2 linked regions of the Pelodiscus sinensis genome follow. The protein of the gene in region 2 interacts with the protein of the main gene of each other region in a pairwise test. Links are inferred from orthologs where the notes say so. Each region holds a gene or a part of one and is shown on either strand. Other genes may lie near its edges.

Evidence for each region. The genes of interacting proteins can lie anywhere in the genome.
Region 1: the proteins of DAZAP2 (region 2) and UBC interact in binary tests that used the Homo sapiens proteins (3 or more experiments, as listed by UniProt). The two-hybrid records come from large-scale screens. The link is inferred for Pelodiscus sinensis from reciprocal best matches to the Homo sapiens genes DAZAP2 and UBC.

What each region holds. Positions count from the first base shown.
Region 1 is NC_134731.1:3,489,122-3,496,450, forward strand, and holds UBC (polyubiquitin-C), read left to right. Parts: upstream 1-3,808; 5' UTR 3,809-3,967; intron 3,968-4,679; 5' UTR 4,680-4,685; coding exon 4,686-6,059; 3' UTR 6,060-6,202; downstream 6,203-7,329.
Region 2 is NC_134729.1:2,041,206-2,049,454, reverse strand, and holds the start of DAZAP2 (DAZ-associated protein 2), read left to right. Parts: upstream 1-4,649; 5' UTR 4,650-4,762; coding exon 4,763-4,775; intron 4,776-7,612; coding exon 7,613-7,734; intron 7,735-8,249. UniProt on the Homo sapiens protein: In unstressed cells, promotes SIAH1-mediated polyubiquitination and degradation of the serine/threonine-protein kinase HIPK2, probably by acting as a loading factor that potentiates complex formation between HIPK2 and ubiquitin ligase SIAH1.

The DNA of each region.
Region 1 (7,329 bases), on a different chromosome or scaffold from region 2:
GTTTTTTAATTGTATTTTTATTCTGGATGGCTTCATTTCCTTTCATTGTAAACTGGGAAGGTGCTCCCAGCAGGAGCAAACTTGCTATGTTAAAGAAAACCAAATGTGTATTAATCAGAGAAAAAAAGATATTAAATGTATAATTTTGTACAGATTCCAGCTTGTGTTTGAGTGAGAAAAAGTATCAGTTCTCTTTTTTTATTGAACCACAAGTTCATTCAGGTCCACAGGAAGAACTAGCAGTAAGCTGAATTCTACCATGTGACAAATTTTTTGGATCTAGCAAAGCCCTTGTATAACCTTGGTTCAAGGATCAAATGAAGCTCCACTAGTATTTGCAACAATTCCCTGTCAGTTTACATGAGGAAGTTATTACATGACCTCACCAGAACTTTCTATTAAAAACTCTGGTAAATACTAGGTTGAGTTTCTGATTGCAGCGCTTAATAACTATGCTGTTTCACAACACCCCAGTAACAAAATAAAGTTTGGCAATATGCTTTACATTTAGAAGAAAAGTAGTCCAGGAAACTGAAGTTAATGTGATTAGAAAAACATGAATCCTAAGTATGACACATGGACATGCAGTTACTCAACTGACCAAGTTCTAAATAATGAAATTTCTCCACTCTTCTAATAAGCCTGTACTGTTCCTGGCCTGCCTTTGTTTTCACAATTGCAACATACATAGAAGTAGTAACACAGAATATTCCAGGACAGTACAGTTAGTACTGTAGCATTTTACCATAATTTTCAATAAAGATTTTCCCCTTTCCCCAGTGAAATTTAGAGTAAACTTGACAATTGTTATGGACTCTGGAAACACACAAGCACTAACAAACAGATGATAGAGAATTTATCCAAGAAATATTTATTTTCCAGGTATACAGAAAAGTGTGCCTAAAGAATTACAGACCGATAAAAAACGCTGGGGGAACCCAGCAGGGAACATGTTTCTGACACAAAGGGCCTGATCCACCCATGCCCTGCACTATGTGTAATAATTTACACTACTGGAGAATGCCAAGAATCATTATGTAAAGCAACAGACTGTGCTCCCTGAATTCAAAAGGCACAAACTAATGTACTTTGGTCACATTAGGCATAGTAATAAAAGTAACCCCAAACAAGTTTTAATGGAAGTAATGATGGTGGATCATGATAGTCAGGGAAGACCTGCAAGATGGACAGATAGTGTGTGGTAAATCACTGAGAGATTAGCTACTGAGCGTACAAAATCAGTGGTGGATTGAGGAGGCTTGTGAAAATTCTGTTATGTCACCAGTATTCAGATATGAATAAATGGACTTAACCCACGTGCTTAAAACACGAGTGCAAAACATTACCATTCTTACGGCATATTTCTACTACACATTAGCAGCTGTGCCACTGTAGCACATCTGGTGAAGATGCGCTAAGCCAGGGGTCTCAAACTCCCAGCCCACGGGCCATCTATGGGCCGAAGCATATACAGGAGGCTCCCGACTTGCAACCACCCAAGTTCCGACCCCCCGCACTTACAACAATTTTTGTAAGTGCAGAAGAGGCTGGAAACCCCCGACTTACGTCCTCGGCTCACATTTACGACAGGCGCATGGCACCTATCGTAAATGAAGGTTCGCGTTATGACATCCCCGACTTGCGACACTTCCCCTGGAATCAATCACGTCACAAGTTGGGGGCCTCCTGTATGTAATTCTGTTTGGGAGTCCGGACGGCCCAAGGGGCATTCTGAGCCCATCCCCGAAGCTCCAACTCTTCAGCAGGCACACTTGCTCTGCTTCCTTATCATTCCTGTTGCCGCTGCTGCCCCCCACACTAGGTCCCCTCAATAATCCTCAAAGCTGGGTCTCTCAGAGGATGGGATACCATGGGGGAGGGGAGATAGAGGGAGAGTCAGTGATGGAAAGGAGCAGGCCTTGGGGGACAGGTTCAGACATGGCCCTCTGGGCCACAGGTCTCCCAAGCCGGACTGTGAATACGCTCTGATCTGTAGATGATCCTCAGGCCAGGAGTTTGAGAGCCCTGCTGTAAGCAAATGTGAGAGCTGTCCTATCAGCTTAGTAATTCCATTTCTGTGAGATGTGGTAGTAACTATGTCATGGGAGTTCTCCCATCTACACAGTGCTGTCTACATTGGAGCATATGTGTATGTTAAAGTCGGTATAACTACATTGCACCCTTTAGCAGTGTAGTTATACTGAATTGTATAGCATAGATAAAGCCTCATACATACGATGACTTTTCACACTCACTTTGTGCTGGCCTGACTACACTAGGTGCAAGACAACAATAGATCAAGTCCAAGACTCCTCACTGTTGAGAAGTACAAGCTTAGGTGAGGTGCAAAAGTTGCACCAGTGAAGTTTAGCTGAGTACAGACCCATGAATTCCCCACTCTCATTTCAGTCTATGAAAAATCTTAAAAAACAACAAATAGTCCCACAGCACCTTGCGAGACTAACAAAACACATAGATGGTGTCATGAGCTTTTGTGGGCACAACCCACTTCTTCAGATGAATGGAGTTACGGGGTCCAGGCTTTCAAATTTGCAACCTGGACCATTTAACTCCATTCATCTTAAGCAAAGGATTGTGACCACAAAAAGCTCACGACACCATCCACATTTTTTTTTTTAGTCTCTAAGGTACTGTGAGACTATTTGTTGTTTTTTAAAGTTTTTTTCCAGTTACAGACTAACACAGCTTCCCGTCTGAAATGTCAGTCTATGGCAGCGGTCAGCAGGGGCTACATGAAGCCCACTGGGGTCCTCTGCGTGGCCCGCAAGACTGTTGCCAAGCACAGAGATTCTGCTGGTTTCCGTCCGTGTGGTTTTTCTCCGACTGGTATTACTACAGTGCCAGGCACGTGGCGCAAGGCCACGGGCGGTGCGGTGCGCGCCGACGGCACGGGCCATTGTGAGAGCCGCGTGCGTCCGGTCGAAGCGCTGCGACGGGTCCGTCGGCTCATCCCGCCAACTCCAGGGACACAGGCACAGTTGGCAAAACTACCCTCTCGCGGGAGGCCGCCTCGCTTGCGACAGTCTTGCGGCCCCTGAGAGGACGAGCCGCTCCTGCCGCCTGCTCACGCGCCTCGGTTGCCCACGGCCCGTCGGGTGGCGGCGCCCGGTTCAAATGGCGCCAGGCACAGCCCCCCGCGAAGCCGGCCCTGCAAGAGGCTGGATGCTCTTCGCCCTGGCACGAATGGCCGCTGGTCCAGGCAGGAGGGGGGCTTCCCCAACCTGGCTGCTGGGGGCACTGTAGCCATCCCTCCCTCCCAGAGCCGTTGGCCTCCCTTGTGGAGTCCCCCTCCCCCCGCATGAGACGGTTCCCGCCTGAGAGACCAGGCCCCTCCCCCACTGCGGCAGCGCCGCTCCCGAAATCTGCTCCACCGAGTCGCGCCCCTTAGCAACAAGGCTTACCTCACCCCGCGCCAATCAGCGGCCAGCACCGCTCGCCCCTTCCCCCCCGGCTCTTCCAGAGCTTTCTCCCTAGACTCCTCTGGGAGCCAATCAACGACCAGTCTCGCCCCCTCCGCACCCAATCAGTGTCGATCAGTGCCAGAACCCCGCCTACCGTCCTCAGGGGTTGCGAAGCTTCCAGAGCGGTCTGGCAGCCTTCTCACCGTGGCAAAAATCCCTCCGCGCCTCGGAGACTTCGGTTATTCGGAGGGAGAGCGGTGGATTTGGCCGAGAAGGGGACAGGGCGTAGCTTTGAGACGTCCAAAAAGGTTCCGGGAGGAGGAAGGACCCCTATTTCCCCTGGATGCAGGCCCACCGCTGGGAACTATTTTCTGCAGCGCACTGATACTAGCGGGGCGTGACTGCGTGCGTCGACTGCGTCACCCGTCCCATAAATAGGAGCGGGCGGAGACACCCTGTAGCAGTGCGGTTTCGTAGTAGCGGGGTAAAGTCAGCCTTTGTGAAGCAAATTTTTTCGGTTTTCTAGACGAGCGTCCGGGCTAACGGTAGGCGCTGGGGGGCACCTCGGCAGGATGTGAGCGGGAGGGCGATGAGGACAGTGGCGCGGAGAGCGGCCTGCGCGCGCGGCGGGGTATTAACTCGGCCCTGCTCTGTGTGGGGAAGGCGGTTGGGCGCGAGGGGCCCCGGCCTAAGATGGCGGGGGCTGCGCGGCGCCATTCGCTCGCCTTCCCGGAAGAGAAGGGCGCGAGTCACGGGCGCGCATTGTGACTGGGCGGGAAACGGGGTGGCCCCCACATGCCGTAAGCGGCGCCCGTCGCGCAGAGGGGGATGGGGCCGAGCCGCCGTGGGGGTGCGGGGCGGCCGGGACGGTAAAAGTCCCAGAGAGTGGGGGTGGGAAGATGGCCGCGCGGTTTTTTTTCTTCCCCTCCCCCATTATAAGCCTCGCGCTTAGTTCCCTGGTGGGGGCGGGGGAGGGAGCATTTGGGTCCAGGCTCGATCTTGCTCAGCTCAGACTCCCTTTGTGGGCAGGAGATGTTGTGCTTTAAGCCAGCACCATCTTGGTGTTGAGACTCCAGGAAACAGGACTGGGAGATTTGTGTCTCCAAAATATTTCCAAGACTTTCTTTACTGGCATATCTTGAGTCACTTTTTGTACTGCAGTGTTAGTGGGAAGCTTTTGGGGTCTGGGTTTTTGTCCTGTTTTGTAGCAAGTTGATCATTATGGGAAGCTGAACATTTTTCTCGTTCTTTGTACAGTTCACCATGCAGATCTTTGTGAAGACCCTGACTGGCAAGACTATCACCCTAGAGGTGGAGCCCAGTGACACCATTGAGAATGTGAAAGCCAAGATCCAGGACAAAGAAGGCATCCCCCCTGACCAGCAGAGGCTGATCTTTGCTGGCAAGCAGCTGGAAGATGGCCGCACCCTGTCTGACTACAACATCCAGAAGGAGTCCACCCTCCATCTTGTGCTGCGTCTGAGAGGTGGTATGCAGATCTTTGTGAAGACCCTGACTGGCAAGACCATCACCCTAGAGGTGGAGCCCAGTGACACCATTGAGAACGTGAAAGCCAAGATCCAGGACAAAGAAGGCATCCCCCCTGACCAGCAGAGACTGATCTTTGCTGGCAAGCAGCTGGAAGATGGCCGCACCCTGTCTGACTACAACATCCAGAAGGAGTCCACCCTCCATCTTGTGCTGCGTCTGAGAGGTGGTATGCAGATCTTTGTGAAGACCCTGACTGGCAAGACCATCACCCTGGAGGTTGAACCCAGTGACACCATTGAGAACGTGAAAGCCAAGATCCAGGACAAAGAAGGCATCCCTCCTGACCAGCAGAGGCTGATCTTTGCCGGCAAGCAGCTGGAAGATGGCCGCACCCTGTCTGACTACAACATCCAGAAGGAGTCCACCCTCCATCTTGTGCTGCGTCTGAGAGGTGGTATGCAGATCTTTGTGAAGACCCTGACTGGCAAGACCATCACCCTAGAGGTGGAGCCCAGTGACACCATTGAGAACGTGAAAGCCAAGATCCAGGACAAAGAAGGCATCCCCCCTGACCAGCAGAGACTGATCTTTGCTGGCAAGCAGCTGGAAGATGGCCGCACCCTGTCTGACTACAACATCCAGAAGGAGTCCACCCTCCATCTTGTGCTGCGTCTGAGAGGTGGTATGCAGATCTTTGTGAAGACCCTGACTGGCAAGACCATCACCCTAGAGGTTGAACCCAGTGACACCATTGAGAACGTGAAAGCCAAGATCCAGGACAAAGAAGGCATCCCTCCTGACCAGCAGAGGCTGATCTTTGCCGGCAAGCAGCTGGAAGATGGCCGCACCCTGTCTGACTACAACATCCAGAAGGAGTCCACCCTCCATCTTGTGCTGCGTCTGAGAGGTGGTATGCAGATCTTTGTGAAGACCCTGACTGGCAAGACCATCACCCTAGAGGTTGAACCCAGTGACACTATTGAGAATGTGAAAGCCAAGATCCAGGACAAAGAAGGCATCCCCCCTGACCAGCAGAGGCTGATCTTTGCTGGCAAGCAGCTGGAGGATGGCCGCACCCTGTCTGACTACAACATCCAGAAGGAGTCCACCCTCCATCTTGTGCTGCGTCTGAGAGGTGGCTGTTAAGTTATTGTGGCTCTTCCTTTACAAGATTGCCAATAGCATTTGTTTTGCACTGTAGCCCGTCAATGTCTTAATATTGTAAGTTAACTGCAAGTTTCAGTAAATGCTGAACAGTGTATGCTAATAAAGGTTTTTGTTGCACATTATATGGTCTTTGTGAAACTATGCAGTACTTACCCAATTACCAGTTTTAATCTGATTGTGTTCCATGGAGTGGTATGTGGAGGCTTAGGTACTAATTCTGGTCTTGAGTTTACTTTTTAGATCAGAATATACAAAGTAATGAAATCCTCAACTTAATTATAATGGGGAAAATTCATTGATATACTAATTCCAATACATTTGAGACAGGAAAGGAGGTTCTGGTCCCCTTTTCATAGTAGGCATTCTCAGTTATGCCTCTCTGCTTAGTAAAACTTAAAGCCTACTCTAAAGAAAGGAACATGCCCCTCTGCTATAGCTAGTGCTGTTGCTCACTTGGCCTTTTTCAAACCGCATTAGTGTAAGTCCTGCTGTTTATAATGGTTTTCTTAATGGCAATGGTATTGCAGTCAGTTTTTCCCCTCTTCTATAAACTGCATCAACCATTTGGCATTAGAGAATGTATTCAGTGCATTTTTTGTTAATCAAATGAGATGATCAGCCCACTCAATGTAGGGTAACAAATGCGCACAAACTGGCTCTAGGTTTTCTTTGCACACATGAAAACTGGCTCAAGGGAAATACTAGCTTTCTAAGAAGAACTAATGCTGCTATAGGTTTCCATACATATATTTGAATAGTTCTACACTTCATTAGAAGGGTTAATATCGCAGTAGTAAATAATGGGCTTTAGCTTTAAGCAAAAGAATGGTGGGATAGAATCTTTCTGCCTAAACTTGCCCACTACTGCCAGCCATAGTTTTCTGTAAAACTCTTCCTTTTTCTTCAGAGCTGAGCCAGTGTTAGCTGCATCAAGTGGTGTGGGCTGTTGAAAATAGGCTGTCCAAACATGTTTAACCTTATAGCAGTGCATAAAATACATAAACTCAAACATAGCTATTCAGTTCGTTGTTTTTCAGAAATGTGAGGTATTACCTGTAACTATAGGCTGAGGATGTTTCAGCCTTACCAACAGGTCACTGGAAAGTGTCAACAGCAAGTACTGTTACTTCATTAACAAAATACATTTAACTCATGCTCACTGCACACAGACATGACTTGTGTCAATGGCTAAAACAATTGACCTGACTCCCTTTGTAAATAGCTTCTAAACTACAATAGTAGAAACCCA
Region 2 (8,249 bases):
GAACGGTTGTAAGTCGACGCATTCGTAACTCAGGGACCACCTGTATAACAAAACCAAACTGGAGGTCTCTCAGTGGCTGTCTGTCTTTCCAGACCACTCTATCCCTTTCAGAAGTCTTGCAAACCCGCAAGCTTCCCCTCACTTAAAAACTACTTGCTTCCAATATCAGTCATAAAAATCCAAGTACAAGAGCCACACTGTTACTGAAAAATAGCTTCTAATTTTTACCTTCTATTTATACATCAATTGGAACATAATATAAATATTGTACTCGTATTTCAGTCTGTAGTAGATACAGCAGTATAAACAAGTCATTTATGAAATTTTAGTTTGTACAGACTTTTCTGGGGCTTTTTATGCAAATAGGCAAATATCTAGATGAGCTGATGAATCCCCTGGAAGACCTCTACATACCCCCAGTGGTACATGCACCCCTGGTTGCAAGCGACTGCCTTATGAAACAGCTGTAGTTATCTGGGACCATTTGAAAGGAACTGTTCTCTTCTGAATCATTTGATTGTTTATTATTTATATTACAGCTCCCCACTGTGCGAGATGCCATATGGACAAGTTACAAAGAATAAATGTCAGAGGAATAGCCACGTTAGTCTGTACCTGGAAAACATAGTGGGACTGAACTGGCCTTGATAACAGTGGTCCTCCACTTGGAGGCTACGTCTACACTGGCATGAATTTCTGAAAATGCTTTTAACGGAAAACTTTTCCGTTAAAAGCATTTTTGGAAAAGCACGTCTAGATTGGCAGGGTGCTTTTCCACAAAAGCACTTTTTGCAGAAAAGCGTCCGTGGCCAATCTAGACGCGGTTTTCCGCAAAAAAGCCCAGATCGCCTTTTTCGCGATCGGGGCTTTTTTGCGGAAAACAGTACTATGCTGTCTACTCTGGCCCTTTTGCGCAAAAGTCTTTTGGAAAAAGACATTTGCCCAAACGGGAGCAGCATAGTTTTTCCGGAAAAGCACTGATGATTTTACATGAGATCGTCAGTGCTTTTCTGGAAATTCAAGCGGCCAGTGTAGACAGTTGGCAAGTTTTTCCGGAAAAGCAGATGATTTTCCGGAAAAACTTGCCAGTCTAGACACAGCCGTAAAGTAACTCCCCTTTTTATATGCTAGAATTATATATTCCTACCTCTGTGATTACTACTCCCTGCAGCAGACAAATTGGTTTTGACCTATGGAAGCTTATGCCCAAATAAATCGGTTAATCTTTAAGGTACCATAATTCCTTGTTGTTTTTAAAAGAATAAATGAACAAATTCCATCAAATGGACATTTTGACTAGCCACTTGCCTAACCCATGGCTTACATGGGATACTTACTCTCAAAACCACTCTGGATTCCATCGACTGTAAAGCCAGAAAGAAGCATTTTGATAATCCAGTCTGAACTCCTCAGGGCAAAGAACCTTACCCAAGAATTTCTGCATCAGGCTCATTCATTCTGTTTTAGCAATAGCAGATCACTGAGCAAGACATCCAATCTTGACAAAAACGGCAAAGGATGTAGAAACTACCCTGTCTCTACGCGAGTTGTTCCAATAATTAATTATCTTGAATTTGCCCGTGTGAGATCACATGGACGCAAGCTGGTTCCAGCCCTTGGTTCCGCAATCACCTTGTAAAGAAGGGGCATGCACGAGGTGGGGTCACCATTCCTGAGCGAGTCCCATGAGGGTATGAAACAGGAGTCTGGGGAATAGTACAGACACCAACTTCCTGTTTTAACACCAAAGAGGATATGTTTTAAAATAACTAACATATCCTAAAGCTCGGGCCAAAATAACTAATAAAGCATTAGCTGGTGCTAATGAACACAATCCACTGCTTGGTGAAATTTAACTCGCCTTAAGGCTTAATTAAATGTAAAAATATTTGGAGGTTATCAGCTATTTCCATTGATCTTTTATGTATGAACTTAGAAACGCTTGCCTTTTCTATGTCCGATTCAGAAGGGAGAAAAAACAAAAAAGGAAGATTACATGGATCCCCCCCCCCAAGTTAGCTCAACTGACTGTTTACAGCTCTTTGCTACTTGAGAGAGCATTAGTCAGTGAGTCTTGCAACAAGCCTGTATCTAGTGGCTGAGCTACAGTCTATTTTTAAAGTCATCCTGTCTTGAAAGACTTCAAGAGATGGAGAATCTGCCTCCACACAAATCAGACATCAGCAATGGTAACACACAATAACCTGTAGGGGAACATTTTAACCTATCTGGTCACTCAATCATGGATTTAAAAATAGCCATTATTCTACAAAGAAATTGCACCAGCCAATTACAGAGAGACACTGTAGAACTGGAATTCATCTACAAATATGACATTGTTAGCCTGGGCTTGAATAAAAACATGATTAATGCACTAGAAAGCCCATCTCCCCTGCCTTTAACATCCCCATTGTCACATCAAAAGATATAAATGGGACACAGGCAGCCCACTTAATTAGCTTAATTAACCCAGGTCCTACAATTGACCGGTGCTTCTTTTGCTGTTATATATATCTTCGATTCTGTTATTGCCACTCCAGCTCATCTGAGGAAGTGGGTTTCACCCACAAAAAGCTTATGATACTGTATATTTTTCTTAGTCTCTAAGATGCCACAGGACAGCTGTTGCTTTTAAAGTTACAGACTAACACAGCTACCCCGCTGTGACTTCCTTTGGGAAGTTACTCCAATGGTAAATTACCCTGTTTCATGTGTGTGCTTTACTGGTGGCCTGAAGAGGCCCAGTTTCAGTTTCTAGCCAGGGGCGCTCGTTATGCTTTTGTCTGCTTGATTAAAGAGCCCTCTGTTATCAAACATCTACCCGCATGTTGGTGCTCACAGAGGGAGAAGGAAGAGCGTCTGGTCTCCTTGGCTGGAAGGAGAGGTGGCTCCCCCCCCAAACCAATACCTGTCAGGGAAACGCAGCGCAGCCAAAGCAGCCCCCCGCTGCCCCTCCCCTCCAGGCCCGGGACAAGCAGCCCCCCCCGCTCCCCCTCCCCTCCAGGCCCGGGACAAGCAGCCCCCCCCCGCTCCCCCTCCCCTCCAGGCCCGGGACAAGCAGCCCCCCCCCGCTCCCCCTCCCCTCCAGGCCCGGGACAAGCAGCCCCCCCCGCTCCCCCTCCCCTCCAGGCCCGGGACAAGCAGCCCCCCCCCGCTCCCCCTCCCCTCCAGGCCCGGGACAAGCAGCCCCCCCCCGCTCCCCCTCCCCTCCAGGCCCGGGACAAGCAGCCCCCCCCGCTCCCCCTCCCCTCCAGGCCCGGGACAAGCAGCCCCCCCCCGCTCCCCCTCCCCCCCCCAGGCCCGGGACAAGCAGCCCCCCCCGCTCCCCCCTCCCCCAGGCCCGGGACAAGCAGCCCCCCCGCTCCCCCTCCCCCCCAGGCCCGGGACAAGCAGCCCCCCCCGCTCCCCCTCCCCCCCAGGCCCGGGACAAGCAGCCCCCCCCGCTCCCCCTGCCCCCCAGGCCCGGGACAAGCAGCCCCCCCGCTCCCCCTCCCCCCCAGGCCCGGGACAAGCAGCCCCCCCCGCTCTCCCTCCCCTCCAGGCCCGGGACAAGCAGCCCCCCCGCTCCCCCTCCCCCCCAGGCCCGGGACAAGCAGCCCCCCGCTCTCCCTCCCCTCCAGGCCCGGGACAAGCAGCCCCCCCCGCTCTCCCTCCCCTCCAGGCCCGGGACAAGCAGCCCCCCCGCTCCCCCTCCCCCCCAGGCCCGGGACAAGCAGCCCCCCCCGCTCTCCCTCCCCTCCAGGCCCGGGACAAGCAGCCCCCCCCGCTCCCCCTCCCCCCCAGGCCCGGGACAAGCAGCCCCCCCGCTCCCCCTCCCCCCCAGGCCCGGGACAAGCAGCCCCCCCGCTCCCCCTCCCCCCCAGGCCCGGGACAAGCAGCCCCCCCCGCTCTCCCTCCCCTCCAGGCCCGGGACAAGCAGCCCCCCCGCTCCCCCTCCCCCCCAGGCCCGGGACAAGCAGCCCCCCCGCTCTCCCTCCCCTCCAGGCCCGGGACAAGCAGCCCCCCCGCTCCCCCTCCCCCCCCGGCCCGGGACAAGCAGCCCCCCCCGCTCCCCCTCCCCTCCAGGCCCGGGACAAGCAGCCCCCGCTCCCCCTCCCCTCCAGGCCCGGGACAAGCAGCCCCCCCCGCTCCCCCTCCCCTCCAGGCCCGGGACAAGCAGCCCCCCCGCTCCCCCTCCCCCCCAGGCCCGGGACAAGCAGCCCCCCCCGCTCCCCCTCCCCTCCAGGCCCGGGACAAGCAGCCCCCCCCGCTCCCCCTCCCCTCCAGGCCCGGGACAAGCAGCCCCCCCGCTCCCCCTCCCCCCCAGGCCCGGGACAAGCAGCCCCCCCCGCTCCCCCTCCCCTCCAGGCCCGGGACAAGCAGCCCCCCCCCGCTCCCCCTCCCCCCCCGGCCCGGGACAAGCAGCCCCCCCCGCTCCCCCTCCCCTCCAGGCCCGGGACAAGCAGCCCCCCCGCTCCCCCTCCCCCCCCGGCCCGGGACAAGCAGCCCCCCCGCTCCCCCTCCCCCTCCAGGCCCGGGACAAGCAGCCCGCTCCCCAGGTGGGGGCGGGACTCGCCGTTTGGAACGGGGGGGGCGGGGCGAGCATTACGCAACCCCGCTCGCCCGCGTAGGCCACGCCCCCATGACCTCTCCCCTCGCGCCGTGACGTCAGGACGCCGCGCACACGCCGACGTCGGCCGCCCCTCCCCCCACCCGTCGCAGCGCCGCAGTGACAATAACAAGGAAGTGCGCGGAGCGAGCGGAGCCACCGCCCGAGCGAGCCATGAACGGAAAAGGCAAGAGGGGGGGGAGGGGTCAGCCCCGTAGCGAGGGGTCAGCCTTGTGGGGGGGGGGGGGAAGGGGTCAGCCCCGTAGCGAGGGGTCAGCCTTGTGGGGGAGGGGTCAGCCCCGTAGCGAGGGGTCAGCCTTGTGGGGGGGGAGGGGTCAGCCCCATAGGGAGGGGTCAGCCTTGGGGGGGAGGGGTCAGCCCCATAGCAAGGGGTCAGCCTTGTGGGGGGGGAGGGGTCAGCCCCATAGCAAGGGGTCAGCCTTGGGGGGGGAGGGGCGAGGGGTCAGCCCCATAGCAAGGGGTCAGCCTTGGGGGGGGGGAAGGGCGAGGGGTCAGCCCCATAGCAAGGGGTCAGCCTTGGGGGGGGAGGGGCGAGGGGTCAGCCCCATAGCAAGGGGTCAGCCTTGGGGGGGGAAGGGCGAGGGGTCAGCCCCATAGCAGGGGGTCAGCCTTGGGGGGGGAAGGGCGAGGGGTCAGCCCCATAGCAAGGGGTCAGCCTTGGGGGGGGGAAGGGCGAGGGGTCAGCCCCATAGCAAGGGGTCAGCCTCTTGGGGGAGGGGGGGCAGCCTTGTGGGGGGGGAGGGCTCAGCCCTATGGTGAGGGGTTAGCCTCTTGGGGGAGACAGGGGTGGGGTGTGAGGAAGGGGTCTGTGCCGTGGGAGAGGGGTCAGCCCCATGGAATAAGGGGTCAACTTCACAGGGAGGAGGGGAAGGGGTGCGTGGAGGGGTCATCCCTATGGGGGAGGCAGGGGAAGGGGTCACTGCATAGGGGAGGAGTCAGCTCCTTGGGGGCAGTAGTTCTGCAGGTGGGGGTGGGTTTTTGGGGGGAAGGGGGGATGCTTGTAGCAGCGCGTGTAGCTGCAGGAGACTGTTGTCATGGGTCACGATAAGGCAGCTAGAAGGGCACAAGGGAATGGTGGGGCAAGAGGGTGAGGGTGGTGACTCCTTGTTGCCTTGAAGAAACAGGGAGCCCCAGGCATTCTTGGGAGGCTTGTACGTAACAGTTAATGCAGCCGTTCAGTGCGTGAACCTGGATTTGCTGAGAATCCCTAAACTGTGTCACGGGGTCTCTCCCTCGCCTGTTTCCCGTAAGAGAGCTGCTCTGTCTGCAGGATTGCGCTATGCCCCAGCAGCACCTTGGAGAGGGGAGTGATAGTCGTGGAGGAGGCCATCAGGGTAGTGGTGGGGTCTGTGACATTGAGGAGCTGTGCTTGAGGGGTTAATACACATTTGTACAACTCCCGTTGATTGTGTTTATTATTTGCCTTGGGTAGTATGAGCTGCCGGCCTTTCGAGAGGTATTAAGATCTTTTAATCACTTCAGGAATCTTGGTCACTTGCGATCAGCAAAGCTGCTTCTTTTCTCTTAATTTTCCTCGGGGCAGTGGCTCCCTCTAGTTTTGGGTGCTCTCATGTTCATGGCAATGAGCCTCTTATAAAAGCATGACTAGAATTCAAGTTTACCCTGCAAGATCACTGTGTTCCCCTCCACTCCTTTTTTTTGTTCAAGGCTGTGTTTTGAATCTGTACTGATCATAGAAACATTGATATTGGCCTTTGGTTTGGTAGAGCTTTACAAGAACACAGCTTTGACCTGACAGTGACACATGAAAGCATCACCTCCTGGATGGTGACACATTAAAGCAACGCCTCCTTGCTATTGCTGGCTATGTTCAGAGCAGCTGAAAAAACACATAGAAATTATTTATTTTAAACACGATAGTGGCCTGATGAGAGAAACTGACTGTAGAGCCAGCTGCAGTAAGGATTAATAGATCACTTCAGAATTTTACCAAGATGTTAAGCAGGGCTTCTTATTGGCCTTGACTTGAAGAGCAATGCTACCATACAGTTAAAACAAAAAACAGGACTATGTATCACTTTAAAGACTAACAAGATGGTTTATTAGGTGATGAGCTTTCACGGGCCAGACCCACTTCCTCAGATCAAATAGTGGAAGAAAATTGTCACAACCATATATACCAAAGGATACAATTAAAATTGTATCTGGCCCACAAAAGCTCATCACCTAATAAACCATCTTGTTAGTCTTTAAAGTGCTACATAGTCCTGTTTTCTGTTTCAGCTACACCAGACTAACGGCTACATTTCTATCACCCTACAGTTACTTATTCTTGATGCGTTAAGATGCATGCCATTTTAATGCAATGTAATCTTTTGCATAAATTAATAAATGGGTAAGAAAGAATAGTGTGTGTGTGTGTGTGGGGGAGAGCTTGGGTTAGGGAAAAGATCTGCTCTTATTTGGGGGACTATATTTATTTCTTGCTGCAATCTATGATATCCCTTTTGTTCTCTCTCTCTCTCGGTACACAGATTAACCATGTTAAGTTGTAAAACATTAAGTTCATTAACATATGCTCTTTGAAAATAGCACGTGTGACAGCCTATCAAGAACTTCAAATGATAAAGGGTCTAGTATTGTTGATGTCCCAGTAGTTGGCGTAGTTCTGTGGCACAGAGTCAAAACTTTGTGACTTGCAAGTCTGAGCAGAGAAATGCCTAATTCTAAATAGGGTGGTTTGTCAGCAGCTCTGCACATGAAGGTGTTTGTTTTTCATAGTGGCCTAGTTCTTTTAAAGGATTTTAACAGTACAGAAATTAGTTTTTGCTTTTAGTTCCAATCAGACTACGCGTACCGAGTGGACTTTATTTTGTACCTTCCTTCTTGTGCACTCAGCCAATATTTGTACATAACAAGAGGCAATTTCAATGAATCTATCAAGGATCTATAAAGGAGGGGGCTTTCCATCAGCTCATCTTCTGTCCCATTTCCATAATGGCAGCTCCGTTAACGCTGGCCAAATTCTCTTCTGCCTCTTAGGTCAATATCCGACGCAGCCATCCTACCCAGTGCAACCTCCTGGTAATCCTTCTGTGTACCCACAGACCATGCCTCTTCCTCAGGCACCACCATATACCGATGCACCTCCTGCTTACTCTGAGGTATGCCGTATGTCCTGTCTTTATTTGTGCTCCACACCCAAAAAGTAAACTTGGTTACATATGAATTCGTAATACTGGCACTCCCCGTGTTTCAAACATCTGACTTCTGAACATCCATAACTACAAACAAAAGCTCACCTGCAGCCTCAGGGGAGCAGGTGAGAGGCACAGGTGAAGGGGTGGCTGGAGGACTAGGGGGCGGTTACGTAGATAGTGGCTGGAGAGCAGTGGCATTTGAAGGGAAAACCGCCTCTTCTCTCTAACTACTGTCTGGACAGTTGCCCCCTGCTCCTCCAGTGTTCTCTGGCCCATTCTTGTGCCTCTTGCTGCCTCCTGGTAAGGATAGGGCTGTCTGCAGTAGCTGCACAGAGCCCGTGGGGAAGGGAGGAAGGGCGTTTGGGGAATGCTCACAAGTCCCCTTCAGAATCTCTACTGACCTCATCCTCCTCTAATTAATCTTGCCTTTCCTCAGGCACCAGCATTCAAGGTTAAATTTAAAAACACAACAAGGTTCT